Linked DNA regions of Drosophila melanogaster. The protein of the gene in region 3 interacts with the protein of the main gene of each other region in a pairwise test. Each region holds a gene or a part of one and is shown on either strand. Other genes may lie near its edges.

Region 1 (7,258 bases), on a different chromosome or scaffold from region 3:
TGATAAAAGCTGTTTCTTATAAACTGTAAATAAATGTGGTTAGGAAATGAGAGTTTTGGAATCTTTTCCCATCATTTCTAATATAGTGGTGATTAAATTATGTTTCTTTATATTTCGAAGAATTCTTGGCAATTAAATGTATATATTAATATCTATGTTTATAATTTTGTCTACCTTTCGACAAAACACGTACAGTGCCTTTTTGTTCCCCTGAAATTATCCACAATTAATATTAAAACGTGAGCAAATTGGGCTCATAAATTTGGCAGCTTACAAAAAAAGTTGAAACGGCAGACATTTCATTTGAATTTATATTTATTTTTAGCACTCAATTAGCTGGAGACATTGATTAAAGACGAAAGTGGTTCCCCCAAAACCGAACATTCCACCGTCGTGGATCACTGAGAATGGAGAGAGGGAGAGAGGGGGAAAGGGGGCCACCTGCAAAAGTCACATCCTTCGGTTAAGGATGCCACTTCGAGGACCGTTAAACGCGGCACTTGACAGGCGACCGTCTGTGTGAAAGTATCTCGTATCCTGGCATCCTTTGTTTTTTATGCTCGCCGCTCGAAAGACAAAGCGTGTATGAAATATGCACCGCAGGGAAGAAACACCGAATGTGAAAGGGAAATGGAAAGGGAAAGGGAAGGACATCAAAATGGAATATCCTGCATACGCAGCCTGTTGTGGAATGAATATCTGCTGCCATTTACGAGCTCAACTCGAATGGCCTGCAGTGATTCCAGCCCGTCCGCCCACCGCACATACTACGTGTTATCTGTCGGAAAGCGCTGTAATGCACAAATTAAATTTATAAATATGCATAATAATTTTTAATAACGTTTCACAGGGCGAGTCTGTCACTTGCAGCGCCGGCTTTTTGCCAACGAAATTGACTTCCTGCGGCAATTCGATTTATCCCAGACTGAGGTGTGGAATTTCGTGTGGATTTTTCACGTTTTACAAGTCATTGTTAAGGTAATGTTAAAGATAATCCGTCGCTTAGTTTAACTGGAGATAAATTTATCTGATACATAGCAATTGTGATGGATTTAGTTACCTTCATATATTATCACATAATTTTATAAGCAATTAAAATCGCTAGTAACTAGTAAGAGTAACGATTCTTAAATATATTTGTCTTACCTCTATATCATTTGCAAAGCTATGTTACTGAGTATAATGCGAATATGAATATAATACGAATTTAGCGCCTTTCTATGCGATTCTCAAAATAGCACCTAAGCAGTAGGCATTGGCACAGCAACAAGCGAATAACGATCAAGGTTTAGAAGTTTGAATTCCTGCTGGCTCCATCAAATGACATATAAACTGTCATCTAAAAAATTGTTTTAGCAAATCGATTTCGCAAATATGTTTGTCTTTTTGTTAAGCAGCATTTCCCATCACCGGCGTCACTTTAGCCCAAACACCCCAGAAGTGCCCACTCCACATGTCATGCTTGTCCCTACTTCATGGTTTTGTTATTCCTTTGCTCACAACACAAATGTCCTTCCGGGCGAGCACTCAAAACGAATGTAGCCGCTTGTTGCTCGGCTTGTTGCTCCCGTTGGCAGATTCCGGATTCCGGATTCCTGATTTCTGATTTGTGCCGCTGTCCTCCCAATTTAATATGCAATAAGCGGGCTGTCAGAGGCAGCTCGGTCCAAACCCTTCGTTTGCCATTCCCCGGGGGCCATTCGGACCTAAAATAAACATGCGTATAATGTTGGTAGGGCCTTATCATATTTGGACAGATGTTGGAATGTAATTGAGATTGCCTGCCGTTTCGATACGCATGCCCGGAACTGTGCAGCGGCAAAAAGTGCAAAGATTTTAATTGAATTTCGCACAATTGATTTCATAATTTAAAAACGAAGAAACGAGAAGAGGATCCGGATGCGAACGCCAGCAGAAATTGGCCAGTGAAGAGTGAGTGTGTAAAAATGACGAGCTGGTCATTATCTGCGCTTTTCCGTCAAAGTAATTTAACTTGAGTGAGCACTTAATGCTGCTCCTCTGTGTGGAACATTTTCCGGAACGTACTCCATCCTTCATTTCCATTGAGTTGAGTTAACGCGCAAGTGCATTAATTAAGATCCAAAGGCGTCCATGGCAACCGAGTGGCAGAATCAGTGGGCGTGGCAGGATGCGGGACGAGCATTAATATAAAATCCTTCAACGATTTTCATATCGTAGAGGGGGGGGGGGGTGGCATCAAAGGGGAGCAGCTGCCAGCTATGCCAGTTGGGCATAAATTCAGCTAATTGACGACTCACATATAAAAGCCCTTTTATTGACACTAAACAAGGCTGAAATGTACATACAAGTAAGCCAACTGACTGCGCAGCTCAAACCCACTCAGTGCGTATACGTAATGTTATGTTTGCTTTTGCCACAGGTTTGTAGCCCATAAGCCTGTTGACTTTAATTATATAAATACATAAGACCTTGCAACTATTCTGGGAATCAAGTCCTTGCTGGGGATTTATTGTGCAATCGAGCAATTTCTTAGTGTGTATTTACTTGATTCATGCTGCCATGTATAAAGATTTACTTAATTAACTCAAAAATTTGCATATTTCAATGAGGTGAAGAAAATAAATTTAAAAAAGGAAGAAGGGGATACATTACAAAAACTTATCTACTTTTTGTTGAACCTTTTAATCGCATTACTCTTCTTTTCCACTGCGCATTAAATATGCATTAATTATTAATAATCAATCAGGTGAAACTACATTTTCCAGGAATTTACAACTTTTCACCGCTATCTATAATAATGCATTAAACAATTTTTTAGTGTACTGTTCGAAAATTGTATTTTATTTAGACCAATTAAAAAACATCAACAACAATTAAAAGGTGGAACAAAACGTTAGCAAATCGCTGGCAAATTGAGAAATTTAAAATCTGTAACGCCTGATGGCACGATACTGGTAGCCATCGCTGCCCAGGACGGCACTCTCGCCTCCAGCTGGACCCTCCACGATGACCTCCTCGCCGCCGATCGGAGGCAGATACTCGGGAGCGGCCTCCCTCAGCTCGGCGGGCATCTCGGCCGGCTGCTGGTAGTGGTAGCCATCCTGGAGCAGTTGCCCAGAAACGGTGGGCACATCCACCACACGGACATCGGCTGGCTCCTCGGGTGCAGCCGCCTCGGTGGTTTCCTCAGCGGCTGGTGCAGCTTCCGTGGGCGGAAGGTACTCCCGGTTCACCTTGGGCTCGGCGGCGGACACCACCTCCTCGGTGTCATCGGCAGGTGGAGCTGCAGCTGCCGGAGCCTCGGGTGCAGCCTGCGCCTCCTGAGCAGGTGGCAAGTAGGCGGTGCTGGGTGGCAGATACTGCCTGGCTGGCTGCAAATGGGACACATCACGACGGTTGCGATGGCGCAGCTTAAGGCGGCGCACCGTGCGGTACTCGTAGCCCTCATCGCCCAGGACAGTGGCCTCCGGATCGGCTTCCAGGGCAGCAGGATCGGCATGAGCCTCAGCCTCCACAGGCTCAGCGTTCAGGAGGACAGCCTCGGTGACCGAAGGAGGCAGATATTCCACTGCAGCGGGATCCACCAGTTCCGAGACATCGCGGCGCAGCCGAGATTCCAATTGAGGAGCACCTAGGGCCACACTGGCCACAGCGGAGAGGGTAAGGACACCACCAAGCGAGAAGATTTTCTGGAAAATAAGTATTAGTTAGTGGAAGTATTTTCATGGGCTTGTTGAATTTTATTTTGCATTCTTTATTTAAGCCAAAATCCATTTTAAATTCCTCCTTTCCAAGTAGAATTTTGATCAATTTATTTGATTTGTTTAGCGACTTTACTTAATCCTTTGCAGCAAACTCAAATCCTTGAGGACTTACCATTTTTCAAGTTTGCCTTTTCGGGTTTACGATTTGCGTCTTGCAATTGAAAGTTGCCTGAGCTGATTGATGATTTGCTAATGGCCAACTGCTCAATATATAGCCAAAAGCGAGTTCGGCCATAATTAGAGAAACCAAAAACAAAAAGGCCAGTAACAAATGGAGCCACTTCAGAGTGGAGTGCTCTTCTTGGGTGCTTCGTCTTGCCTCAGTTTTGCTTTGGACAATGTCAAGTGGTCCAGGTTTTGGACCTCGTTCGTCGACTTGACCTTTAGGCACCGCATTTTTATTTCAATTATTTTCATAACGTTTTTTCTTCGAGCTGTAAATATATATTTTTTGAGGTGTTAATTCACAGGCCTGTCGAATTGTGCGGAAGTACTCTTTGAGAGTCTTCTATTCTATTTTCTCATCATATTTGGATCGCTTTTTGCACAGCTAATTGCCTGGCGGTGAATAATTAAGTTAATTTTAATGCGTATTACATGGAAAATGGGCGCAACCAACCCAGCTGTCACAGCCAATGAAATTGTCATCAGAACTTGTTGCGAAAATTATTTATTGCTTTCATTTTCGACCATGTATTTGCGTTTGTTAACCAAACACCGAGGGTCATTTAATAGGCATAAACATAATTGTGCATATTACATTTACCAAATTCAATTGCGGTCTTTATGCCGAAAAAAAAATTGATGAGCTCGCAAACACTCTTTGTTACTTTTATCTATAAAAAGCAACTACTTTGATATGTAAATGTATCAATCAATCATCCATCCATATAGCAATACTAATTTACGTACTTATTGTTATTTAAATTAAATGCCAGTCATTATTTGGTGATACCTTTTACGCAACTGTAACCCATGTTTACATTTACCTATATATATATATTAACCACATCTGAAAGCCAATTTCGCTGTCCTGTCAGCCAAGCATAAATTTGCCCTACTTAGCCTGGCGTTTAATTTTTCTGGTGGCATTTAATGAATTGTTAATGAACGAGTGCGACCCGTGCCATCGTATATATGGTTATAAGTTGGTAAGAGATTTGTACTCCCACGGCGGGATAAACCCACACCACCGTGCTGCATGTGGCACATAAATCATTCCCTGGTTGTCGGCCTAAAAGGCGGCAACAATTTCCGTTGGCTCTTAAAGTTTCCGCCGCAACGCAATAATTCTTGCCACACCGATCGACCCGTAAAAAGAAGACCAACTTGTTGCTTAGCCAAGTTTAAAGTGTCGAAGGAGGAGGCCCAGCTTTTCTTGCCCAGCTTCTTTGCATAAAAACCACTCATGTGTAATATTTTATGTTTGCAGGACGAGTGCGGTGGTGTATTTGCCGACTTTTTTGCCTTGCCATGTGGGGGAAATAATTTATAGCGAAACCCGGCATAGGCAGAAAAAAAAACCCAGAAACATGCAGATGGCATATAGGATATGTTGAGACATAAATTGTGCGGGGCTCATTGATTTCAGTCTGTGTGTGTTTGATTTCGATTCTATACATATGTAAAACTTTGTCTATTTGCCTCTTGCCTGTTTGTTTCACAGTCAATTTGCATGTTGGGTCAATGAAACGAACCATTGAGGACTTTAAGCTAGGGATGGCAGGGATATCGATGGATAGGACAACTTATGTCTTGAAAGCATTGTAAAATATAAACGGCAATCGAATGAAGGTGAGGGGTTCTCCACTTTTATTTACTTCGGTTAAGTAAACATACATATTTTAGTGAAATGTTAAAGATGGCATATAAAAAAGCCTTTAATATAACTATGACAAGAATATCGATGGATGAGAGCACTTATTTCTTGAAAACGTTGAAAATATATTGTTTTCCATTTTCATTCCATTTTCCATTAATATGAATATAGTGTCTGAAATGTTATGATAAATATATTTAATTGAGCTATTTGTATGTATGCAAAATTCATTAAGTCGAAAAATGTGTTGTCCCACTACACTTTAATATACTGTTACTTAAAGAAAATTGTGAATAAGTTCATATAGCCTTTATTGTGATAGTGATATCCTATTAAACCTGATATTTTTGATAAGACATTCCTTATCCGGACCATTAGACGTTAAAGCTGCTGTAAGGTCCTGCACTTGAGTGGAAATCGTCGCTGTAAGCCAGGCAGGTGGAAATGGGTTTGGCAAAGGGGTTGGAAAAGAGGCTGTAAAAGCAGCCCGCGGCTCCCACGGCAGCCAACTTGAGAATGTTTGCTAAGGTCCACGAAAAGGACAGACCCCAGTCGAAAATAGAGAACACTTGAGTGGCAGCCAAGAGGAGTGGAAGTCCTGGCTCCAGTTTGTCTTTAGTTTATGCAAATTCAAGGACTTCTAGGCGCCGTCGGCCACCGCTCGGCTGGCATTAAGTTAAAATATTTATAAAATTTAAATGGGCGCGGCATCACGTAAAAAATCAGAAGGGAAAAAAGCGGCAGGTTTGCAAAAAAAAAGGGTTCTTCCACCGTCAAGCCTATCGATTTACAAATTTAAATTACTTTCTTTTCTTCGCCGTTGCGTGCTTCCTTTTTTTTATCGTGACTCGTTGATGCTGGCAAATCTCAACATGGAAATCCTTTTTTTGTTAACAAATTCGCCTGCATGTTGCCAACCAACCAGGCGGCATCCGTCTTCTTCGCTGCGGACAGGCATTCGCAATCATTTAATTTTACATTTGCGTTGACGTTGCTTCAATTAATTGGACTATAAATCCAAGTCACTCATTCTGTGGCTTGTGACAGTTTAATTGAATTCGGTCCTGCGAACTGCCATGTCCTTAGCCCTAATCATCGATTGGGTTGGCCAAAAATCTGTTGTTAATGGCAACAGCTTGGGGCAGGTAATTAAGCCACGGTTCCACATGTTAGCTCTTACATGTGTCTCAGTTGGTCCACTGACTGCCATTGGGATGTACAATATGATGTGCCCGAAAAGTCGCTTTCGGCTGTCAGAGTTGTTGAAAAATTGATGAACTGCAGCCGCTGGAAACTTGAAATCGTGGGCGTGAGTATCTGTTGAGCTTCAAGAGCTGTACTAATGATAAATCCAACGGTGAGTGCTACTCAAGCTTTGTCTTTAAAGTTGGTTTGTCACCAGTAAACAGGGAAATTGAAAATCATACTTTTGGGAACTCTTTAAACAGATTTTAAATCCCCAGAAAATTTGAGGTTTCACTAAACAACTTTTAGTATCTTCAAATGTGTAATAATTTAAATGAAATAAAATATGCAAGCACTCCAAATATGAAAATTTAAGATATATGTTCATTATTTAGAAATGAAAAGTTGTAAGCAAAACCTTTTGGTTTTCAATTTCCGTGTACAGTTGTTTGATGTATATGTAAGCTCATTTTAAAATCATATTTAACCCTTTCAATATAGATTCAAC
Region 2 (8,050 bases), about 11 Mb from region 3:
ATTATGGGAGTAGTTAAATTAGAACTGCAAGTCCCAGCTAATTACGTACTTAATATTCACTTAGTTTGCCAAACTTCAAGTCATTAGGGTTTTCTAGTTACATAAACCGACTACTGCAGAATTGTTGTAAACAATCACGAAATATTTTATAGACTTAGCTTAGATGATTTGTGATTGAAACTTTTTAGAAAATATAGAACCGATTTGAGGTCGTTAAAGATCGCTTTAGGCTGATTCACCAAAAAGCTTTTTCCAGTCCATGGAGTGGTCAGCTATTTGCAGACGACAGTTGCAACATCTCCGCAGAGGCGACATTAAAAAAAAGTGAAAGTTTCCGCTGCTCTGCACTCGAAATTCGCAATCCGAACATAATGTATCCATACATCAGCCATTCCCACATGCATCCATCGGAGCATGAAGGAGCGCCCACAGATCGGATCGGATCGGGGATCGGTTTGGGAGCTTGAGCTTTGTGATGACCATAGCTCCAGTTTTGCTTTCAGCAGCTGAGCGATGACGAAGTCATCCGTTGCGTGACTGCAGTGAAAAGCGCTTTGTTGTGTGAAAATAAAAAACCCAAAATTAACATTTTCGATAACCGGTTGCGGATACCACCGGCAGTTACCAATATACATAGTATATGATTCATAAACGTATTTCAACGCGTATGAATGCTCATTGTTGACCCTGTATGGGCGATTTTGTAATTGCTTTCGGCTGGGTCTTTTATTTTTTTTTTTTTACCCCATAGACGTAACGCTGTTTCTGCGCATGCGCGTCGTTTTTTGTGCGTTTTGCTGGGTTTTTTTTGGGCGAATCCAAAAAATATTGAACAACCAGTTTTTTGACTGACAGGTGGAAATGGACATGTCAGCCAAAATTAAGCTGCATTGAACTTGGATTAATTGCTTTGTCAAAAACACAAGCACTTCCTTTGAAATTTCTTAGTAAATAAATATAAGTAGAATTCAAATTTCTTGGACAAATGCGATTTACTTTTTAATCATGTCATATGAGTGACTAAGGCAAAATTATTTATTTTTGCACAACAAAATTAAATAAATATTTTCATTCCGATTTCAGTGTTTTCCCCGTTTTATTTATAAACGCAGAGCTATGTGTCACTCAAAACAATATTTTTCTTTAAAGTCATCAAGTGAAAAACCTATTAAATTGGAGGTCATTATGGGATCGCACTTCAGAGATCAATCAAATCAAGGCTATAGTGGCAAAAAGTTATAAACAGCGAAAATACACTGGCCCATTTAAAATGCGTGCCTGATATATGTACATATGTATGTATATTCAAATCCCTATATGCGTAAACATATATCTACGTATGTATGTGTAATTGTGCAATCATTTGCATGCTGATTAGTGTTACAATAATAGACAACGCTTTAATTTCAACCCGATTCGTTCGCTTAATGATCGTCACAATTGCCGGGGAGTTGAACAAATTGGGACAGACACAACTGGATGATCACTGGGAAATACCTTCTTCGAGTAAACGTAGGCTTAAGTGGCACCGATATACAACTATTACTTGGAACGACTGCAAGTCCGTTCACCAGCGCGTCTAACTATAAACTGAGTCCGGTGCTCCAAAGTAGCTTGGTACTTAAAACCCAAAGCGCAGCTTGGATATCGATATCCGATGATTGTCACTCAGAAAGTCAAGATGTGGGTTGCTTCAACGGGTTTGCGTTTCGTGCAAAAGTTGTTACTTAAACTGCGATACAAATGTTGTGACTTGGATATGAGCTTTTGAGAGTTGTATGGAAATTTAAAAGTATTACCTTTCAATAAGCTAGCTTATATCGAAATTAATAAATGAAAATAACAGTTGGTGCATTATAGAGCATATTTTTCTTCAAGTTTTTCAAAAACACACAAGTCTTAAAACACTTCTAGTGCTGCATTTGCCTGGGATCGCTGTAGACGCCCGCAAAGAGAATCGTGTCTACCTTTTCATCATAGATAAGAAACACGAACGGGTGGTTGCAGTTGAATTTGGTGGGATCGGGCTGCCTGCTGGATCGGCTGACCAAGAGGATGGTGGCCGCTGCCGCAGTGCTGCCCACTTCGTCCACTTTGATCTTGGCCAGATGTTGGGCGTCATCGATGACAAGGGAAATGGGATCGGCAGTCAGGTCTCCAAAGGTGGCGTTTCTCGTGAACATTGTGTTCACTCCCATTAAGCTGAGGATCTGAAAAGGTAACAGCTTACGTGTTAGTGCGACTCAAGTGGTCCAGTTAGGTCATAGCTTACAGGGGTCAGTTCCAGGCGCTGCTCAAACTGGAACTTGGGCAGCGACAACTCGATCTTCTGCGGCAATGCCCGTTCGAACCATTTCTTAACGGAATCGGCATTTAGCCGGGATATGACACGGTTAAGACTGATTTTGTTGGAGTTCGGCAGAATGATAATCATGGAGATATCGGATTTGGACTCGGGGGTGGAAATGTGCGTCTCCTTCGACTTGTATATGGTGCGGTAGGGCAGCTTGATGATCTGCGATTGCAAGCCCTCATCGATGGTCATCTTGAAGGCGCCCGTCTTGTGCATCATGTAAACCATTTCCTGCTCACGCTCGTTAATGAAGAATGGCTTCAAGGCGGTCTCCTCCACCTTGAACTGGCTGAGCCACTGGCCCTTCATGTAGGCGGCGTTGGCCAGCACCAACATGGTGTGGGGTGTGATCTCCTCGGAGCTGAGCATGTCGCGGATCTGGTTGTGCGTCTTATCGGCTATCCAGTCGTTAATTTCCTTTAGGCCAGTCTCCGGATCATTCTTGAAATCCAATTCTTTGGTTGCCCCGTAGAGTAAAGTGTTGAATTTGTTGGAAACATTTATTGTCCTGTCGACGAAAATTCTGTTCGCAGACGAGAGCTCCATGGGACTTTGGCGCCAACGAAATTCGTCCTGCCTCTGTGCCAACGTGTACGAAACTAGGACCTGCTGTTTGTTTAATGCCCATCCCAGGTTCAGTGCCTGGGCCAGCTCACGTTCCGTCTGCTCGGAGGAACTGAAGTAGGCGAGGAGCAGGGCGTTGTAGGTGCTGAACGGCGAGAAGAACAGATTGCCGCTGGGATATATCTCTCGGATCTGTTTCATTAATGCTAAGGAGAAGTCTCGTTCTCCCTTGAAAATTTGTGAGAATTCATTTAGAAATGATAGCTCCGGCTTGTCCAAGGCAGCTATGGTTACTACGGGAAGGAGGGCCAACAGGACCAAACTGAAGGTGTGCATAGTTGGTACTGTCTAAAAATTTAAGGACATTCATTAAGTATGAACTATAAAGAATTTATGAACTAGAACTAATAAATAGTGAAGGATGTGATATTATTTCTCACAATGTGAATTTTTCCAAAGAAAAAACATGAATCATTAAATAATCTTGGCCTCATAACATTATAGTTTATTGTTCATATGTATGTATATTGTGGGATTTTGCCAGAGATAGTGTTGGAATCCTTAATCGACTTTGTGGCACATCCAAATTTTGTCGGACTATTAAAAATGAGCTTTTTACAATAGGATTTTAAATATAAACATTGACACGAGCCCAACTGAGACAAGTTTCTCAGAACCATTAAAAAAATCTCTTTCTTCACATTTCCTAGAATTCTGTATTTCTTGTATTCATCATAATTCTTATAACATATATATTTATATATATATATATATTATATAGTATATTTATACTGATAAGAAACTTTCATGTGCCGGAGTATGTGTTTAAATCGATTGCAAACATAAATTATTATGTATAGTCGTTATTGATACAAGCGTATGAAATATTTATTTTAAAAGAATCTTGGGTTTTACCTTAACGGAATTTTGCACAGAACTTAAATCAAAACGGAAACAATGGTGGTCCAACCGATTGCACTTACAATCACTGACTAATGCATGTGGCAATAAACGGCAGAGCTAGGCTTAAAAATAATGAGAATAATGCGATAAGCGGGCGAAATCGCAGCTGATCCTCGAATTTAAATTGATAACGTACTGTTCCGTCACTGAAATAAGACGGTTTTTCTAAACAGTGATTTAAAGTAAGAATTGGTTTCCTAATTGGAGTTCTGCTAAATTTACCATGTTTAAATAATATTATCTCATTTTTCTATATTTATTAAATTTATTTAGTTGATTACTGCAAAAAGAAATAATTTTTGATTCGTACAGAAATATATATTATCTACTCAGTTTTGTTTTTAAGCGATAGCTTTTTTCAAGTTTTATGTTCTGCTGAACGGGACCATTCGCGGTACTGAAAAAGAGTGACTGCCACTGTGACTGCTAAACGATAACCGCTAAAGCTTGGTTCACCACTAGAATTCCGCACTTGACAACACTGGCAGCCACCACCGTGATTGAATAGTCGCGAATTGACAACAAAATTACGCGATAAACAAACCGAATTTGGCACCCGCTCACCGAAATGAGTGCATCGACGAGCACGTCGACGGCGGCGTCCCAGGACGCCTGCTACATATCGCTCCTTGGCCTGGCGGAGTACTTCCGCACCTCGCAGCCGCCGAACATCAAGAAATGCATCCAGTGTCTTCAAGCCCTGTTCACATTTATGCCGCCCTCGAAGGTCGAGGCGCGGACACATTTGCAGATGGGCCAGATCCTGATGGCCTACACTAAGAACATCGATCTGGCGCGCCAGCATTTGGAGAAGGCGTGGAGCATATCCGAACCGCTGCCCAATTTCGACGTTAAGTTCGACACCGCCTCGCTGCTGGCCCAACTGCATCTGCAGACGGACAGAAACTCGCATCAGGCCAAGGCGATGCTCCGGCGGGCCGTGGAACTGTCGCAAAACAACGTCTATTGGCACTGCAAGCTGCTGCTCCAGCTGGCCCAAATACATGCCAGCGATCGCGAGTACTCGCTGGCCTCCGAACTGCTGGCCGTGGGCGCGGAAAGTGCCGACGAGGCGAGCGCCACGTACCTGAAAGTGCTCTTCCTGCTCTCGCGCGCCATGATCCTTATGATCGAGCGCAAGACCAACGACGTGCTCGCCCTGCTCAACTCCGCCGGCCAAATCATTGACAACAACATACCCAATCCACACCAGAAGGAGTACCTGAAGGTGTTTTTCCTGGTGCTACAGGTGTGCTACTACCTGGCCCTCGGGCAGGTAAAAACGGTGAAGCCTAGTCTCAAACAGCTGCAGATGTCCATACAAACGATAATGGCGCCAAATTGGCCTTCGGATGAGGCGATTTTCGGGGCAAATCAACTCGAGATGTTTGTGTGGCTGCCCAAGGAGCAGCTGTACGTCCTGGTCTATCTGGTCACTGTCTCCCACTCAATGATGGCGGGCTACATGGACAAAGCACAAAAGTACACGGAAAAAGCACTCACCCAGATCGAAAAACTTAAGCAACAGGAGGACAAACCCATTCTATCCGTATTCAAGGTGATTCTGCTGGAGCACATTGTGATGTGCCGCATGGTGATGGGCAACCGGGAACTGGCTATCCGGGAAATAGCAGCCGCGAGAGACGTTTGCATGGCCGCTCCGCAACGCAGCCTGCTACGGCGACACTCGGCTCAGCTGCACTGCCTCATCGGGCTCTACTCCATGTCCACCAACCTCTTTGAGCATGCGGAGAGGCAGTTCGTCGTGTGCGTGAGTGAGACCAGCGAGCGAGACCTGAAACTGTTTGCCAACCTCAACCTGGCGATCATTTATCTGCGCACCAAGCGGGACACGGACCTCAAGCAAATCCTGGATGCCGTCTCAACGGAAAACACGCACACGTATAGCAGTCAAGCGCTGATGGGAGGCTTCTACTACGTCCAGGGACTGCATGCTTTTCACAAAAATAGCTTCCACGAGGCGAAGTTAGTCACCTTAAGCCAAGACTCTAGAATGTAAACTGATAATCTTTATTCTTTTCAGACGCTTTCTGCGTGAAACTCTGAAAATGGCCAACGCCGAAGACCTCAACCGACTGACCAGCTGCTCGTTGGTTTTGCTATCGCACGTCTTTCTCAGCATCGGAAACTCAAAGGAAAGCATGAACATGGTGACGCCGGCCATGCAACTGGCCAGTAAGATACCCGACATCCACGTCCAGCTGTGGGGATCGGCAATACTAAAGGACCTGCATCGTATGTCAAAGGATGTGCAGCATGAAAAAGATGCTTATGCTAACCACGTTAAATACTCGGAGAACCTGATTGCAGACCAGCGCAAGTGCGTCCAAAGTGCGCATCACGAACTCGTCAACTGGTTCCAGGGCGATCCGCCAGTGACGAGTGGTCCGCCGGCTGCTCCCGTCCTGCTCATGCCAGAGTCCTCCGTTACAGCCTCAGTCCCCGTCATCGCCTCCACATCGACAGCCATGCAGCCGGCGGGGCAATACGGTCAGTTCTACTAGCAATGAGATGATTATGCAATGTAACTTTAAGCTTTTATTTTTATCTACGACCTAGCGACTAAGTTAAGACTAAAGATGTTCTAAAGTTGTGAATTTTGTCATAAACTGTGTTCCCGAGGGAAAGAGTAGACGGAAATGTAAAGCGGATGAGTTGTGCGCATTTGAGTTGGGTCGTTCAACTTAGGATTATAATCATTATTACAATTAAAAGTAAGGATCCGTCTTGGGTATTAGGCAAACTCAACCACCTTTACAAAAGCCGCCTTGCTTGCACAGCTTCTACATTGATTTATAGCATAAGCGCAGACTCGGTCATCTCGTTAAGTTCCTCTTCAAGGGCCCCGCTTCCGTTTTCCTTGTTGCTTAGAAATGTGAAGTGCACCAGGCGTTTGTCGTGCTGCTCGTGGCCGGCCAGATGTGATCGCATCTCGGGCATCGACTTGAACTCCTCATTGCACACCGGACAAATGTAGATCCGCTCGCCCTGATGTGTACGCTGGTGCATCTGGCAGTCACCCCGCTGCGTAAAGGTCTTCGAGCAGAAGGGACAGACGTACGGCCGCTCACCTGTGTGCGTCCTTCGGTGGTTCTTTAGCACATTGAGGGCAGTGAATCTCATGGGGCAGAGATCGCAGGCGTATGGCCGTTCGCCAGTGTGCTTTCGTTTGTGCTTGGCCAGGGAGCAACTAGTGGTGAATCTGGCCAAGCACACCTCACACTCGAAGGGCTTGTCGCCGGTGTGGGTGCGTGCATGAGAGGTGAGTTCCGCCTTGGTAACAAACGAGTGCGGGCACAGCTCGCACTTGAAACTCTTTGTCTCCGAGTGACGCAGCTTGTGCTGGCGCAGATTGGCATTCTGTGTAAAGCTCTTGCCACAGATATTGCACACAAAGGGTTTCTCGCCGGTGTGGATGCGCATGTGGTCACGCAGCGTGGACAGCATGGTGAATACTACAATATTAAGAGACAATTAAATAGGATTTTCGACCACTCTTTGTTATCTTACCTTTCTGACAGATATTGCACTGATTCCGCAGATTCCGCTTGTGGCCCTGCACCATGTGCTTGCTAAGTGCCTCCTTGGAATCACAGCGTATTCCACACTCCGGGCAATTGTGGGCACCATGACTGGCCTGGTGTTCCGCCAAGTGATCCGGCGACACGAAGACCTTTTCGCACTCATTGCACTTGTAGTTGCGATTAATGCAGCCCTTTTGGCGTCTGTGGATCATCAACGATTTCTCCACCGCGAATCCCGCATTGCAACGATCACAGTGATATTTGAGCTCAGGGGTAGTAGCTGCTCCTGACGTTGTGCTTGGCCCGTTTACTGTTCCCGCTCTTGGCGCGCTGAGTTTTCGCTGTGTTCCTAACCGATGCTGTTTGGGGGAAGGCTCTGCATCTGACGGCGGTGTAGCCGGTACATCCTGCTTGACAACTCCGCGACGCCGTGAGGTGCGCTTAGCCGACTGAGGTACTTGTTCCTTCTCTAATTCGCGTGCTTCCTCCTTAGAACCCACAGGAGTCTGATGCTTATCGTTTTCCTGCTGCGTTAGAAGCTTGGCAGCGCTCTTTCTGGTGGTTACCTGCGGAGCGGTTACTGTGATGATCTCCGCCTCGTTATCGACACCTTCGAAGATGGCCA
Region 3 (8,701 bases):
AAAAAGCCTTTCAAGCGTGACTGCAGCAAAATGGTGAAGTGCTGAAGCTGAAGTGGTCTCATCCAAAATAGAGTAGCAATCACAGATGAGCAATTCCTGCACTTAAAGTCGGCTGGAATGATAAACTTAACCATGAACTGTATACATTTCGAGTGTTAGGGCCACTTGGATTCAGTCGAGCATTAGATGGCAATCAGCTCAGGATACACACATGTCTAGATTCTGAGGGTTGAGGGAAATTGTGATGGCGGAAGCTTGTTACTGACAATCTCTGGTGCAATCAGTATTCATTAATTTGGCAGCCGTTAGGACTTACTAAAAATGCAATCTATGGCAGCAAGCAGAAATTTTAGAGACTTCTATGCAAACTGGCAGGCAAGCAATAAAAAAGTTTCCACGCTGCACTTCCGGGTATGGGGAAAGTTTTACTAACTCCCTCGTCCAGAAAATGCAGTTATTTTTGGCAATGGCCAACAAGAAACTGACTTCATTGTTGGCCAGGCCAACAAAAAGCCTTGTAAGGAAACTGCCAAAATAGTTGCAACGACTTCAAAATGGGGAGTAGTTGGGTATTCACAATTTGGTATTCAACTGTGCGAAATTCTGAACAATAAGTCGTTACATCGGCGCGCACACACACACAGATCTGTAAAGAGAGCCACGGATATTCGAGGATATTTCCACCCGCTAACCCTGTTGGCCCCCGGAACTTCCGGTTCGGCGATATGCGCCAACTTGCAGACAATCATTCGGTCTGTGGCTGTGCCCTTTTCTTGGCCAAAATGGCAAAAGCTTAGCGGGCTTTGGCAAAGCTATAAATATGCCGAGATATGTTCATGAACTTATTGCTGCGTGGGTGTATGAGCCGCGAGTCTTGCCAGGATTGGTTTAATTTATGAGCTGACTTAATTTATTTCCGCCAAGGACAAGTCAAATTCGATCGAAACAAGTTAAATTGGCTTACACAACATAATTGCTTAGAAGTGGCATAATTTGTCTCCTTATATCCGTTAAACTTGTCAAAAAGTAGTCGAAATTTTTGTGATTCATTTTTAGATACTTCTACTTGCCAACTCTTAAAACATTACGAATATTCAGAACTATAGTTACCCGCCGCACTCAAAAACCAATTACATATTTGGGAATTTGTTTTCTCAACTTAACGTTGTTCTGCGAAAAATCCACTACATAACAAACTTTTTTTCTTCTTCCTCAACATTTGTTGTTCGCCATGGACATGAAAATCTACAAGAACAATATACCGACCAAATAATATAAAAATGTTGCCAAAAACAAGAACAACGGGCCACAAGAGCAACAAAAACAATGGCAATGGCAATAAAAAGAAACATTCAACTCTCGCAACTCATACAACTTGTCAGAAAACAGAGAGAGAAAGTGAAAAGCGTGGAAACTGCCCAAATTGGGGGGAAAATTCCGAAAAGTATGCAATATTTTTTTCCAGTTGGTCCTTCAACTTTTCGTGGCTCGTTGCTGACTTGGCAGGCCCGACATAGTAATTAATGCCTGTAAGTGGTCCGCGTGGGTGGCTGAGCATAGTTGTTGCCACTCTTTTTAATAGGCTACTTCAAAAAACCTAGTGTATGATTTAACTATGGAAGGAATGTTTATTATAGTATGGTTATACGAAAAAAAGATTTGTTTCAAGAATGGAATCATTTTGTTTTTATAGATAGAGAAATACCGGGTATGTGATAGTCGAGACCTGCACGAGCTATCTACTCATCAGCAGAGTGCTTGGACTTGGCTTGTTAATTGCATGTTACCAACATATGTTCGCTTGTAAATGTGGATTTCCGCCCATCCCCCAGTGGGGCAATTAAAAAATGTTACCAAAATGCTCGGCTGCAAAGACATTTAACTTTTCTGAAATTGCGGGTAATTTCGTTTCGTTTCGTTCTTTTCTTTCTTGCTTTCCATCGGATGTTTGTAACACATGGCGTATGTGTGTTACGGCTACAGGCGCTAACTTTCGGACAAACTTTGCTCTTATCAGCTGGTGATAAAAATATAAGAGGGAAACAAAGAAAGAAAAAAATTGGAAAAACCTCCGTAAAATGAATGTTCGTATGGGATGAATGGGGATGTGCAAGTTTTATAGACACATCTGGCGGTTGGCTATATAAATTTCAAGTTTGTTGCTGTTTGAAAGCTAAACGATTCCTTTTTTTCCTAGCTGTTGCATATGTGTGTATGTAGCACACCCGATGCCTGCACACGCATGTTTTATGGCTTTAACCATGGGAGGAGGAGTATTTTTTTCCACGATAAGTTGACCATTAATGGTCGCCAAATGCTAGCAAATTGATGTTCACGCTGGGAATGGCTTGCGGTTGCCTTTGGTGGCATAAAATGCTTACATATACATATTTAAAGCCCTTTAAATGGTTCGTGGTTATATTATGTACGAAGAAAATATAACACAATAATATTTAACGCAAATGTATGGTTTCACTTAAAAAAAGTTAAATGCGAACAACACTTTTGGTATTTTATTATAATATTCTTTGGTAACTTGATACTTGTGTGGCCTTTGGTGCAAGTTACTTAACTGAAAGTCAGTTCGTTTGAACAGGCTTAATTATTCAACGAGGTCTGGACGTTTGGCGATTGTCACGCCCTTTGCTCATTACTCACTTAGGCCAAGACAATATCATTCGATTGGGCCAGTAATTACCAGTGTCATTGAATGGCCCACACATCTAACACCCAAAGTGATTAGGCACTTTATAGCCGAAAAGCGTTGAATCACTTTGCAGCTCACAGCTGCGGTTCTCGTTTGGTATTGCCTTGCGTGTCTTTGCGTTTTCCTTAGAGTTTCCTTTTGGCCAAGGCCAAGGTGTTTTGACCTTTAACCGGTAAGTAATAGTGCCCAGATGTGCTGCACAAAATGTTTAAATTTAACATATATCATCTACCAATATTTATTTTGTGTGCTGTCATCGATGCTCATTCCAATAATTGAATATTTGAATGATCAGCCATTATATGGCGTCCACTCACCAGGTTTTTATTATATTTTATTTTATTTTTTACAGTTTCCAAGTTCATTTTTTCAATGTTGGCTCGTGTGAATTTTATTTATAACTTTTCTATTTACAGTTTCGTGTAGCATACATCCCGGCGACCGCCCCTTTGCCCCGCATTCACCCACTTGCAAAACAACAGCAGCCACTTTTATGTAGGCTCTGTACCTGTATCTGTGTGTGCGCCGTGTGTGTGAGTGGGGATGTCTCTGTGTGTGGATGAATGAAACTAGAGCGCACCTTGATTCTATTTTTAAATGCCACACAAAACAACAATTGTCGCTTAGTTGCGCGTTAAGTGTTTTTCATCCAGCTTCCCGCGACCAAGTTCATTTTATTCTTAGGATGCAGATGCAGCTTTTCTCGGCTAGAAGCACTTAAAATAGTTGGCCAGGGATTATATAAATAGATGACAGCGAATTTAGTTTGGCAAGGACCTTGTCGTGTAAAATCGCTTAAAATATATATATTAAATCTCCATATATTTGATTAATTACATAATGTGATTTACACTACTTGAAGTTACTTTTCAAATCGGTGAAATTAGATTACAATATGACCAAATCAATCACGAATCAATGTCGCACGAGTTGGAAAACTATGCCAAGTTGACTTTTTAATCGGCTTGTGCATCTAAATGGAATTGGCATTTATTTTATGGTTTATTGCCAAGCGGCACGATAGTTGCTTTTGTTGCTTATCAATTGTTGCGCACAACTTTTGTTTGTTTGTTTCCTTTTAACAGCTTGTCACGGATTAAATGACACGGAAATTGGGTTGAATAATGGGAATTTTTAATGACGCAATTTAAACGCCATGTAAAAAGAGTTTTACCACTTCTGGGAATAATTCATTTTGTAATATTGTTAAAGAAAATAAAACAAACAAATCGTATACTCAAGGAATATGTTAGTATATTCGATTCTCACCCATATATTACCGCAATGCTAAAAAATAACATATGTAAAGCTTCACTATTTTGGAAAATTATAAACAAGTTGTCGACACTTCTGCCAAAAGTTAAAAATATGTATGAACAATTTAATATATTTTCACAGTGCCGTAAACAGTAAACAATTGCAGCCAGGTGCGTCTTCAAACACAGATTCTTATTTGTTTAAATAAATATGAAAATTAACATTTCAATAGTAAATCGAAGCCTCACATCCAATTTTAAATATAATCTCACAAAAATACTCTTTGATGCGTTTTTTAAACATTTTCATTATTTTCCTCAATTATTGAATGAAAAACCTGGCACAGCTCAAACTTCAAATAGAGCCCATAAATATTTTCCATAATTTTGCGAAAAATAAACAAAATATTCCAGACTGTTTTTTCGCATTTTTCAAGGTGAGTGTGTGAATTTTCACTAGCCTGCGTGTGTGTGTGTGTGGGTGCCTCTGCGAAAATGCGATGGTGTGCGTGCGTGCGACTTTGGCGCCTAGTCAAATAAATCGCATGCGATTAAAATTTTATACAAATAGCTTTAGAAGCGTGCGTTTTGCTTTGTTGTGTTTCATTTGCCGTGCCATTTCCACCTTTTCACTGTTTGTTTTCCATTTTTTTTTTTTCATTTCTAGTCTTAAGCTGCGTTGTTTTTGGTTTTTTTATGGGGGCATGGCGTCAGTTAAATGAGTTGTTGTTTATAGTTCTTGAGCATGTGTGCGAAAAATTTGCATTTGTAGCGTAACGCTTTTGTTTACTTTGTAGGTTAGTTTGTTGGCCCATTGACTTATATACACACACTCGGCTAAAATATAACATATATATTTACCTTCGATGCCTTTTGATGGTGACGGCAGCAGCGGCGGCGGCGGCGGCAGCAGCGGCGTTGACGAAGAAAGCGGCGAAAGCAGACGGAGAAATTGGCCAAAACGGAGATGAGGGAGGTAGGAGGAGTTGGTGATGGCTGATGGTTGAGATGGGTGGTAGTGGGCGGTTGGGTGGTGGTGGGTGGTATTAACCTCAAAGCATGTCAGCAAACAGCTCCTCGAAAGCACTTGACTTGACTCCTTTCGATATTTATATTTTCCTGCCCTCCTTTGCGTGCCTCGTTTTAATTTGTTAATGATTTGGGCTTATTCATTTATTTGCATTATTTGGCGCTCACTCTTCCTAACTCTGCTTATTTGGTGTTATGTTACATTTTAGCAAAACTTGCGGTCCTGTCTCAACGATTGTTGTTGCTGTGCGGAAAATGCCAAGCAGCAAATGTAGCACGAGCAGCAGCAGCGGAAAAAGAAACAAGAGGAAAAACTGTATCTTTTAGATCCGGGCATATCCTTTATCTCGAACAGCGACTGCGACGCTGGCTGAGGCAGCAGCTGTAGCTGTAGCTGGAAAATTTCCTCCAACTTGTTTGTCTAACTCTCGCGTTGCTTTTCAAAACGATGTTTTAGCATTTAAGTTAAATTTAAAGCTGCAAGCTGCAATGATACAGCAGCAACAATCGTTTCCATATATAAAATCCAGCAAAAGAAGAACTCGATAGCAGCAAAAACCGCGCAGCGTTTTCCCCGTTTACCGTTTCGCCGTCAGACACACACTTTTCCCACAAATAAAGCCAGAAACCGTTCGACGCGCGCACGCGAGTGTCCTATACACAACTGATTACAGGACTGCGAAAATGGAAAATGTTTGCCAGCAGCGACGCTTCGGCATTCGGTTTTCCCTCGCTCGGAAAATCTCCGGCTATCGCAGCCAGGCTTCTGTTGCCGAAATATCCGGAGCCACTCCGCCGGAGACGGAGAGCGAGTTCGCCGGAGAGTGGGTGCGCACTCACTTGGGTTGCGGGCGGCACATAGGGTATAGCATAGCCCTCGGCGGTTACAGTGGACTAAGTAGCCACATAACGCATATAATTAGTTTGAATTGTAATAATATTGGAAGAGCTGTTTTAAATGGCAAATATATTTACTTGACTGACAACGTGGCGTATGAGTAATTTTTAAAATATGTTACTAATGAAAGACAGCCTGTTTGTGACATTTAAATTCATGACAACTATTATTATATTGTATATTATAATAAAATAATTATTATTTTATTATAAATGATTTTGGATAAGAGAAGGAAATATTTATTTACAAAATCTAGAAATTGTTGAATTTATATCTCGCACATAAGAAGTACTGCTGAAAGCATCTTTAAGATAGTTATGAATCTTCCAACACCCTTGAAAGTAGCCCACTGTGCAAGCAACACTCATATTCCTCATTCATCTTGCTCAGCCCGCACAATTGGCTGCCAAAAGTATTGCCACACCAGTGTCGGCGACTTCGTCCTTTCACTTGAACGCCAAAAGTGAGGCAGTCTGGCAGCCTCTACTTTTCTGGTCCTGGTCCCCAGTGAGGGTCTTCTTCTGTTACGCTGCTGTTATCCTGCAGACCGCGAGGGTCCTGAGAAATGACACCCATGAGTTCAGGATGAATACGACGCCACGACAGCCAACCAATCCTCCATTTCGCACATATGTACATATGTACATACATCGCACATACCTATAGTGTACATATGTATGTACATATGCTCGTCTGTTGGACATTTGCACTGTTTTTTTTATACCAACGAACGGACGCGTAGGGTTTACAGCCAAATGACAAGTGCTTAGTGTTTTGCATATGCGTGTGTGCGTACACTGAGAAAAATTTAGTTTTATTTTTTTGATCTTTTATTCGTATATAATTCTCATAAATAACTCGAAATTATTTTATTTCACATATCTTACAAACTAAATGTATATTATTAAAAAATAAACACATTTCTATTAAGTTGATGAAAAATTTTTCAGTGCTGGATTTAGCGGCTTGATACCCCCATTCTCATTATTCAAGCTGGAAAATGGGCAGCTCGGGGATGGGGACAAGTGTTTGAAGCACTTGGCGCACGCTTGAGCGGCTTTCAAATTTAGCGTATTAACTCATTAAATGTTCAAAAGCTCATTGCCTGCGAAATGTGCACACATTTCTGTGAATGCGAGCGAGGGTGTGAAATATGCACAAGTATGACACTTTGGCACCGAGGGGAAGACAGTTTTAATACCGCTTAATGGGCAATCGGGCGGAAGAAGCTTGAAATAAATAGAATTCCCTATACTCCTAACAATATCAAAATTTTTAATTAAATTTCTAATGACCATGGAAGAACGCTCGGGGACCTAACAATATAGGGTACAGTACATAAAACATGCTGTGAAAAAAGGGGTAAAAACAGTTGTTGCCTTGAGAGCTGGCATAATTAGTCCTTCTTTCGTATGCACCTCTTTATGCAATTTAAATTAATTTGTGTAATTATTTTAGTGACTTAACTGGCCTTATTTCAACACCCTCGCCCGCACCGAGTGACCGCTGGCAGCAGTTGGCGTTACGCATACGCCACGTTGCATGCGTCTTAAATATTTGATGGCGGAAATCTGGGGCCCGGCAAAAATGACAGCTGCGTGTTGAAAATAATTAAGGCGCAATTATAATGACCCTGGCCACGAACCGCAGGCACTCACCACTCATCACCACCGTTGAAGCCACCCCCATCCGTTCGCCTGTTGGCATTGCAATGTGTTGCATGCAACACTAGACTTTGTGGCGTCGCCAACAATGACGAAAGCAATCCATGGCCATCGAGCTTGTGCGCTCTGGCAGTTTCCCATTCCACTCCACTTATGCAAATTGATGCGAAATGTGGGCTAAGATTTATGCTTAAATCTTTTGGAAGGACATTCTGCAAATATTTACCCAAAGAAATAATTTTAATATTCTTATTCTGTTTGCAGGAAACACGTTTTACTCAATTTGTTGTTGAACAGCAATACACGATCACCGACGACATCCTTTAAATAAATACAATATACAAAGTACAATAAATAACTAGTACAAAATTCGGACCATGTAGGTTTGTAATTGATGACGTTTTTCAGTTGAGACATGGATGACACAAAATGCTTTGCAGGGAAGGCTTGGTGGCCGCCCGAGATTTGGAGATGGGACTATAGGCGAACAGTCAGTAGTTTAGTTGGCATTGGCATCGATTAGGGGAGGCACTTCGGATATATCAACAAGTGACTTTGCGGTGATAGCGTCGCCATCACCTACGAGCTCCTGGGTGTCTGTCGCAATGTCAACGGTCTGCTCCTTTTCGTTCTTAACGTTTGAGGCATCACCCGCTGCCTCTAGCTCGGCCTTTGACTCCGTTGCGGCTGATTCCTGAACGCCGTTCGCCTCACCGTTCGTTGTGGATGCTGCAGCTTCCGCCGCCGCTGCAGCTGCTGCCTTTGCCTTGGACTTTTTCTCCTTCTTGCGTATATTCTTCTTGGCATTGTTCGCCTGACGCTGCTCCTCGGCCTTCTTCTTTTCCTCAATGGAAGTCTTCGATTCATTCGTCGTTAGCAGCTTCATTTGGTTCTGCAGATTTGCCAATGTTTGCTTCAGTTCCGCACAATTGCGAGACATCATTTCCATTTTAACATTTTCAGCACTAACTGGCTTGACGTTTACTGGCTCTGGTTCAGGAGGCAACTGCGGCAGGGCGGGTATTTCGATCTCGTGATCCCGCAGGCACTTGTGCAGTGTTGTCCTCTCCAGCTGTAGAGCACGCAGTAGCTTCTGCAGCTGCTGTATTTGCTTCTGCAGGCGCTCTGAGTGCTGCGTCTGCAGACT
Region 4 (7,770 bases), on a different chromosome or scaffold from region 3:
TATAAGGACTTGATCTCTGGCAGCCGAGACCAGTTCAGTCGGTTCTTGTTGCAGATGATGACCACTGGAAAGGCGATGTGATGGATTGAGGCATGGGCGTGGGCAACGATGGTCTGAAACTGCTTGTTGTGGTACCGGTCACCCAGCAAATAGCTAACGTGGAACAGAACGGTGCAGGCGCAGATCAGGGCCAGTGCCCACAAAACTCTATTAAAGATATATTATTTTTTCCCAATTTGATGATGACTTGCTTATCTCACCGCATACGTCGTCGCATCGAGGGTAAGAAGAGCAAATACAATCCATGGATGTGCGATCTGGATATGTAGCTATCGATCAGTAAAGTCCAAGCTCTTTGGATTTCTGATTTTGTATTGACTGGCGCCAAAGGATTTTGGTCCTGTCGCCGTATCCTATCAGCCACCACTCGCGTTTCCTTTTCAGTTGAGCGAACGAACATTTTGATATGAGTCCTTTATGGTGCATCATGGCTTTTATAACCAAACTCGAAATTTTTTGATCCTTGCAAGGTGTTGAATACATCAGTCACTTTGTCACATAAATAATACAAGTCCTTGCTGATTTTGATACCAATTAGCTTTTCACATCAAGAGATTGACTTAATCTTTGAGTGACAGTTGATTAGCGAATTTAAAGTTCCTTAACTCAAAGACCAAATTGGAAAAAATCAGTTGGAAATGCTTGAAAAGTGTATCTTAGGGTATTCAAAGGTCGCACCACCATTATAATTCGTAGACAGCGATTTTTTATCACTGTTTGCAAATCAATTGCGTTTGATTGCATTCAATTGAATTTATTTCGATGCTCATTAGCCTAAACCATGACCATTGGCTGCGAATCAGGTTAGATCTCCTGGGAGTAGGCAATCGATTGACTCGACCTTTGGGTGACAGCCGGGTCAGTCTAATAAGGGGTCGGCATGTCAGCCGCATTTTGTGGCTTGTCAACGCGCTAAACGGCATCTAATTACCACTGCATTTCAGCACGCATTCCGTTCACGGCACATGGACGGTATAAAAACCTGGCATTCCTTGCGACCAGACTCAGTGAGTCCTGTGCCGACATGACACTGGTTTACTTTCCTCCTTCAAAGCTTCAGCAGCAGCAGCAGCCATCGAGATCCAGTCGCCTGGCCCAACAGTTGGCCCAATCCTCCTGGCAGCTGGCCCTGCGCTTTGGCAAACGGACCACTATCCACGGCCTGGACAGGCTGCTTAGTGCCAAGGCCAGTCGATGGGAGCGATTCGTCTGGCTGTGCACCTTTGTGAGTGCCTTCCTGGGCGCGGTGTACGTTTGCCTGATTCTCTCCGCCCGCTACAACGCCGCCCACTTCCAGACGGTGGTGGATAGCACGCGGTTTCCGGTTTACCGCATACCATTTCCGGTCATAACGATCTGCAACCGGAATCGCCTCAACTGGCAACGCCTGGCGGAGGCGAAGTCAAGATTCCTGGCCAACGGCAGCAACTCCGCCCAGCAGGAGCTCTTCGAGCTGATTGTGGGCACCTACGACGATGCTTACTTCGGTCACTTTCAGTCCTTCGAGCGATTGCGCAACCAGCCAACGGAGCTGCTCAACTATGTCAATTTCAGCCAGGTGGTGGATTTTATGACCTGGCGCTGCAACGAGCTGCTCGCGGAATGCCTGTGGCGCCACCATGCCTACGACTGCTGCGAGATCTTCTCGAAGCGGCGCAGCAAGAACGGCTTGTGCTGGGCTTTCAACTCGCTGGAGACGGAAGAGGGCAGGCGGATGCAGCTGCTCGATCCCATGTGGCCCTGGCGTACTGGGTCGGCGGGTCCCATGAGCGCCCTCTCCGTGCGTGTTCTCATCCAGCCCGCGAAGCACTGGCCGGGGCACAGGGAGACGAATGCCATGAAGGGCATCGATGTCATGGTTACCGAGCCATTTGTGTGGCACAACAATCCGTTCTTCGTGGCCGCGAACACGGAGACGACCATGGAGATCGAACCCGTCATCTACTTCTATGACAACGACACCCGGGGAGTTCGCTCCGACCAGCGCCAGTGCGTCTTCGATGTGAGTGGTTATCTTGTTAATACCCACCAAGGCTATTTCTAATCCTGCACTTTGGATGCCTCAAGGATGAGCACAACAGCAAGGATTTCAAGTCGCTGCAAGGATACGTTTACATGATTGAAAACTGTCAGTCCGAGTGCCATCAGGAGTACTTGGTGCGCTATTGCAACTGCACAATGGACCTACTGTTTCCACCGGGTGAGCACGTTATCAAAATCGTTACCAAATGATCGATTCATTGGTTTCTCTGACCAGGTCAATATCGATCGTGTCGGGCGCAGGATTTGCTGTGCCTCGCTGAGCACAATGGTTAGTAGGAGTCCAGGCTCACCAAAGAAGACCTTATAAAACCAGTATCCCTCACCCGCAGACCTGCTCATCTACTCCCACAATCCCGGCGAGAAGGAGTTCGTTCGCAACCAATTTCAGGGAATGTCCTGCAAGTGCTTCCGCAACTGCTACTCCCTCAACTACATCAGCGATGTCCGGCCCGCCTTCCTGCCACCGGATGTGTACGCAAACAACTCCTATGTGGACCTGGATGTGCACTTTCGCTTCGAGACCATTATGGTCTATCGCACCAGCCTCGTCTTCGGCTGGGTGGACTTAATGGGTCAGTACGAAATCAAATAGCTTCTATAATCCCGTAATTTGTTCCACAAACTATGTATTAAGAGACATAGCTAATTAATAAATAATCAGGATTTTTCCACCAGTTAGCTTTGGAGGAATTGCCGGTCTTTTTCTTGGCTGCTCCCTAATTAGTGGCATGGAACTGGCCTATTTCCTGTGCATTGAGGTGCCGGCCTTTGGGCTGGATGGACTGCGTCGAAGGTGGAAGGCTCGACGGCAGATGGATCTGGGCGTAACCGTGCCCACGCCCACTTTGAACTTTCAACAAACCACGCCCAGTCAGCTGATGGAGAACTACATTATGCAACTGAAGGCTGAGAAGGCGCAACAGCAGAAGGCGAACTTTCAAAACTGGCACCGCATAACATTTGCTCAAAAGCATGTTATTGGCAAGTGAATCGAGTGAGCGAATAAAATATTCATTTAAATTAATTTAAAATGCTATGATTCCGTTTGGTTTTAAAATATTTTTTCTAGTGTTTTAAATTATTTTGTGCCACACCGAAATTACTGAGTGTGATAACGCAAAAGCTCTGTGGAAATGATTTAATCTATTGTTAGCGTGTGCGTGATAAGTTGGATGGGCTGGGCTTTTACTACTGAGGCAATATTCATTACCTACGGTCAGGAGCGGATTAGCTTCGATTTGCAGGCACCAACTATCAAACAATTATTGATTTTTAAGAAAAAAGCAGCATTTTATTTATTTTATGTTAATTCCTAAATGAGTTGGTTAACTTGATGAGAATTTGCGTTAATCATCATACAAAGAAAATACTAATAGAACTAAGTGAGAAACTAGGTGATTATATAAATCTGGTCCAAATCCCCCGCGCTGTCCAAATCCTTCCCTGAACCCGTTGATGTTTAACACTATCATCACCGTGAGTAAAAAATACACGTGTATATATGAGATGGACGGCACGTTTAAATGATTCTAGAATTGTATATTCCGATACGGATGCCTCAAGCAGAGTTGATAACACCCGGAGCAAATACCACGTCTGTTGACCCACTGACGGGCGGTGTTCCAGCAGCGAAGCACCGCCTGTTGTCAATCCGAACTATCAGCCGAATCGAATCTCAATCTCTCCATAGAGCACCTATGACGTGGTCGAATGACTTTGTTCAACAGGTTGCTGCTATCAAAACAAAACGAAAACAAGAGCTAAAAATTAATTAGGGTTTCATCAACCCACAAGCTAGTGTATTTCGTTGGATGTGGATGACTATGCAAAACGCATAGAGTTAGACACTAGACTGAGACTTTTGGCTCTTAGAAAGCTCGAGGCAAACAGTGGGTCGCAGTTGATATGTAAGTAAGTAAAAATTTAAGAAAGTAAGTAAGAAAATGTCACAAAAAATAGATAGCTATAGATATTGCACAAGGGTATGGCTTAGGAAGCACAACATTGTAAAATTTAATAAAGAAATATATAACAGATTATTTTAAGTGAAACTTTAAAGAGCCCCAATACATATTTTGTAGACGACTTTTATATTTAAATAGAACTAGAATATAAATTCAATTCATATTCGACCCACTATACCTTTTACCACCTAATTAGTTTATTTTTACGATGACACCACAGTCATACGAAAAGCTCGGAATTGTCGTATAAACATTTCCCAAAAAAACTAACACTATTGCAAGCAAATATAAAACGCTGAGTTCTACGAGGCCGCAAAATCAGTTGGCTACGAAAGGCAAGCGTTAAGGTTTCGATCGGAGGTGTATCGCTTTAGTTAGAGATTCGAAATGGTGGTCATTAAGAACGAGCAGAATATCTCGGTGCCCGAGTATCTCAACGAGCACTTCTTCACAGAGACCCTGGAGGAGGGTTTGCGGGAGTCGAAGGTGACCCTGAAGGAGATCAATTTTGCGTGGGGCAGCAATCCGGGGGACAACTATTGCTCGGCTATCTATCGTGTCGGAGTCTCGTTCGCTAGATGGGCCGACGGTGGGGAATCCCCGGTGACGGAGCAGCTTTCGCTAATTGTGAAGACCATTCCGATCACCGAAGCCACTCAGTTTCTGGAGGATGTCTGTGTGTTCATCAAGGAGAAGCAGACCTACACTGATGTCTTGCCGCGATTGGATATCCTCAGCCGTGGCGACACATTCGGAGCAAAGTAAGTTAATGAAAGTTTTGGATAAAGGCACACAGTGCTTACTAGCATCTCTATCTCACATCAGATACTATCACTCTGTGAAGACTCCGGTGCAAACGATCGTGTTCAGTGACCTCACGGTAGAGGGATTCAAGGTGGCCTCGCGTGAAAAAGGCCTGGACTGGAACCACGCCTCACTCATTCTTCAGCAACTGGGAAAGTTCCATGCCACCTCCATGGTGCTGGCCAAGAAGGTAGCAGTGATGACTCTGGAGAATCCTCGAACTTCGTAATGACTTCCTTTTTGCAATTCCACAGGATCCCGCTATTGTGAAGCAATACACGCGTGGCATGCTCAGCGAGGACATCCTGATGAAGAGCGACACCTTCGAGCAAATGTTCGGCGGCTTCCTCAAGGGCCTCATCAAGAGCTCAGCGAGCTGGGCCGGCTACGAGAAGATTAGCAAGCACTTGCAGCGCCTTATGGACAACTTCCGGAACGTGTGTGCGGATGCGCCCAGGCCGAGGAAGGGTGATCGCTACGTGGTGCTCAACCACGGGGATTTGTGGACCAATAACTTCATGTACGGATACGATAACGCTTCACAGCCGGACGTTCCCACGCGTGCCATCTTCGTGGACTTCCAACTCAGCTTCTATGGCAGTCCGGCCTGCGATCTGAACTTCTTCCTGAACACCAGCATCAAGCTGCAATTGCTGCAGGAGCGCCGCGAGGAGCTCATCAAGGTGTACTATGCATCCTTCAAGGATGCTCTGGAGTACGCCCGCTTCGAGGACATTCCCAGCTATGAGGATCTGCAGTACGAGCTGCGCAGCCGCGAAACCTACGGACTTTTCGGCATGTTCGCCTTCCTGCCCATGATCACCATGCCCAAGGAGCTGGCCCAGGACAACAGCATTGAGAACATGCAGGACGAGGCCTTCAAGCAGCGCAAGATGGATGCCATCTTCTCGCAAAAGTTCCTGAACGACCACCAAAAGTGGGCTCTGAAGCGAGCTGATTCACTTGGCGTCTTCGGGGACTACTGAAAAGTGGCATGAGTATTATAATGGTTGGGGTTCTGTGATATAAATGGAGGCTCTTCCAAGGCACACATCCTTGATATAGCTATATTAGCTTTCGGCCTGAGAATGTAAATGTTTTGGATTGATTAAAGTACCAAACCTGACTTCAATGCAATAAATCAAACTAACGAAATGTATTTTTTATTCAGATTTCAGGAATATGGTATCAGACAATTTTCAGGGGCTTGCACAACACATAACCACTTATGTTTTCAATTCATAGTCGCTTAAGTATACCACTTATTCTATGAGTGTACGCTGATTTCTGATGCCTGAGAATGAGAAAATATTAAGATAAGATCACATTGACGCAATCGAATCAGGGACTTATACATATATGGTTACATTTCGGGTTGTAGGTTTCGAGATCCGAAGTAACCATAAAAACGATTGAGTTTGGAAACCTTATGGAAGCACAGTCAGCTTGAGCTTGAATTAATAAATTACACAGTATATATTACGCATTTCTTATAAAGCTTACAATCATCTTGAATAACCACGTAGGTATTAGATAATAATACCCTTAGCGATCACGTGCATTCAGAATTTGATGATTTCATGGTTGTTTCCTTCAAACATTCTCAGTCACTTAGTTTCTGCAGTCTGGGATTATTTTATTAGGGCTCTATCATTAGGTCAACTTATAAAAAAAAGTAGAATAGTGTTATCTTCTGTCTAATGTGTTTATTAAAGCTATAGCTTTTATACAACAGGTTGCATATATAAAGTACCGAATGAGGTATATTCTTTTTATAATACCCATCACCTAAAATGTAGGAGGATAGTAGCCATCTTAATAATATCATCTAAACCTTGTGTTTAGTGCGATATATGGCCTAATCATATTACCTTTAAGGTAAGATATTGAATGTAATCATGCCAAACAGATTTAATATAAACGATTACGTACAAATATAATATATTTAAGAAGCGTTCGCATATAATTAGCTTCGGATTGACACTTGACTGAAAGCGTTCCCTTATCAGAAACTCGTTGGATTAATGCAAATTCGAATCAAAACTTGATAAGATAATGAGCTGCCAATCGCTGCAAGTGGAATTCATCCAGCAGAATTCGAAAAATATTCAAACTGAATATTGTCGGCAGAGTTCAAAACAGGAAGTCAAATTACTAGTTAAATGCGCCTAAAAAGGTCGACGTCTCCGCGTTGCGTGTTTTACAAATATCGAAAAATTAGACATCTCGTTGTCGTCTATTAAAGTCTATATATAACTGAAAGTATAATACTACACATAACTGGATACACATAACTATAATTAATTGCGCCGCCGGATTCAGCTGGGCAAGATCATAGCGACACGTATATAAATTGAGCACCGCCTGGTAGCCACTTTTCAAACGATCCCAAGATGTGTAGCATTGTGTTCGACGCGGACGTGGTTGCTCCACCCAGCCACCTGGACGTGCCCTTCTTCGAGGAGGTGCTGGAGACAGCTCTGCGAACAGCCAGGGTGCAGCTGCTCTCCATTCACATCCGGATGGGCAGCAGCACGGGCGAGAACTACTGCAGTCAAATCTACAGAGTGAAGGTTTCGTTTAAGCGCCCCGATCATCCGGAGCAGCACATGGCGTTTATTGTGAAGAGCATTCCCCACCTGGACTCGGTGGAGTTCATTGATGACCTGCAAGTTTACCTCAAGGAGAAGATCACCTATTACGAAGTGCTACCGCGGCTAGAGCTCTTGATGCAGTGCAACCGGAGATTCGGACCTAAGTGAGTCTCAAAAAGTCTCAAAGCCGGCCTTAAATTGCTCATTACTCATCAAACTACTTAATCCCATATTACTCATACGCACTGTTACATCGTAATGTGACATAGACAAATTATTCTCAACGTACTGTGGTTTAACCTATA

What was found.
Region 1: the proteins of CG5890 (region 3) and CG4229 interact in a two-hybrid assay, tested with the Drosophila melanogaster proteins (one large-scale study listed by BioGRID).
Region 2: the proteins of CG5890 (region 3) and Spn88Eb interact in a two-hybrid assay, tested with the Drosophila melanogaster proteins (one large-scale study listed by BioGRID).
Region 4: the proteins of CG5890 (region 3) and CG9498 interact in a two-hybrid assay, tested with the Drosophila melanogaster proteins (one large-scale study listed by BioGRID).

What each region holds. Positions count from the first base shown.
Region 1 is NT_037436.4:16,553,499-16,560,756, reverse strand, and holds CG4229 (uncharacterized protein), read right to left. Parts: upstream 3,935-7,258; 5' UTR 3,862-3,934; coding exon 3,859-3,861; intron 3,672-3,858; coding exon 2,904-3,671; 3' UTR 2,799-2,903; downstream 1-2,798.
Region 2 is NT_033777.3:15,204,852-15,212,901, forward strand, and holds Spn88Eb (serpin 88Eb), read right to left. Parts: upstream 3,912-8,050; 5' UTR 3,833-3,911; intron 3,266-3,832; 5' UTR 3,254-3,265; coding exon 2,273-3,253; intron 2,211-2,272; coding exon 1,911-2,210; 3' UTR 1,852-1,910; downstream 1-1,851. Other genes in the region: Mau2 sister chromatid cohesion factor, read left to right, coding at 4,449-5,866, 5,925-6,405; CG6654 (uncharacterized protein), read right to left, coding at 6,695-7,356, 7,412-8,050.
Region 3 is NT_033777.3:25,853,097-25,861,797, reverse strand, and holds the start of CG5890 (uncharacterized protein), read right to left. Parts: upstream 5,645-8,701; 5' UTR 4,825-5,644; intron 1-4,824. Other genes in the region: CG5886 (uncharacterized protein), read right to left, coding at 8,054-8,701.
Region 4 is NT_033779.5:6,347,646-6,355,415, reverse strand, and holds CG9498 (uncharacterized protein), read left to right. Parts: upstream 1-4,381; 5' UTR 4,382-4,454; coding exon 4,455-4,828; intron 4,829-4,892; coding exon 4,893-5,061; intron 5,062-5,125; coding exon 5,126-5,857; 3' UTR 5,858-6,023; downstream 6,024-7,770. Other genes in the region: ppk14 (pickpocket 14), read right to left, coding at 1-207, 261-460; ppk7 (pickpocket 7), read left to right, coding at 1,085-2,062, 2,128-2,260, 2,318-2,371, 2,433-2,675, 2,779-3,092; CG9497 (uncharacterized protein), read left to right, coding at 7,265-7,629.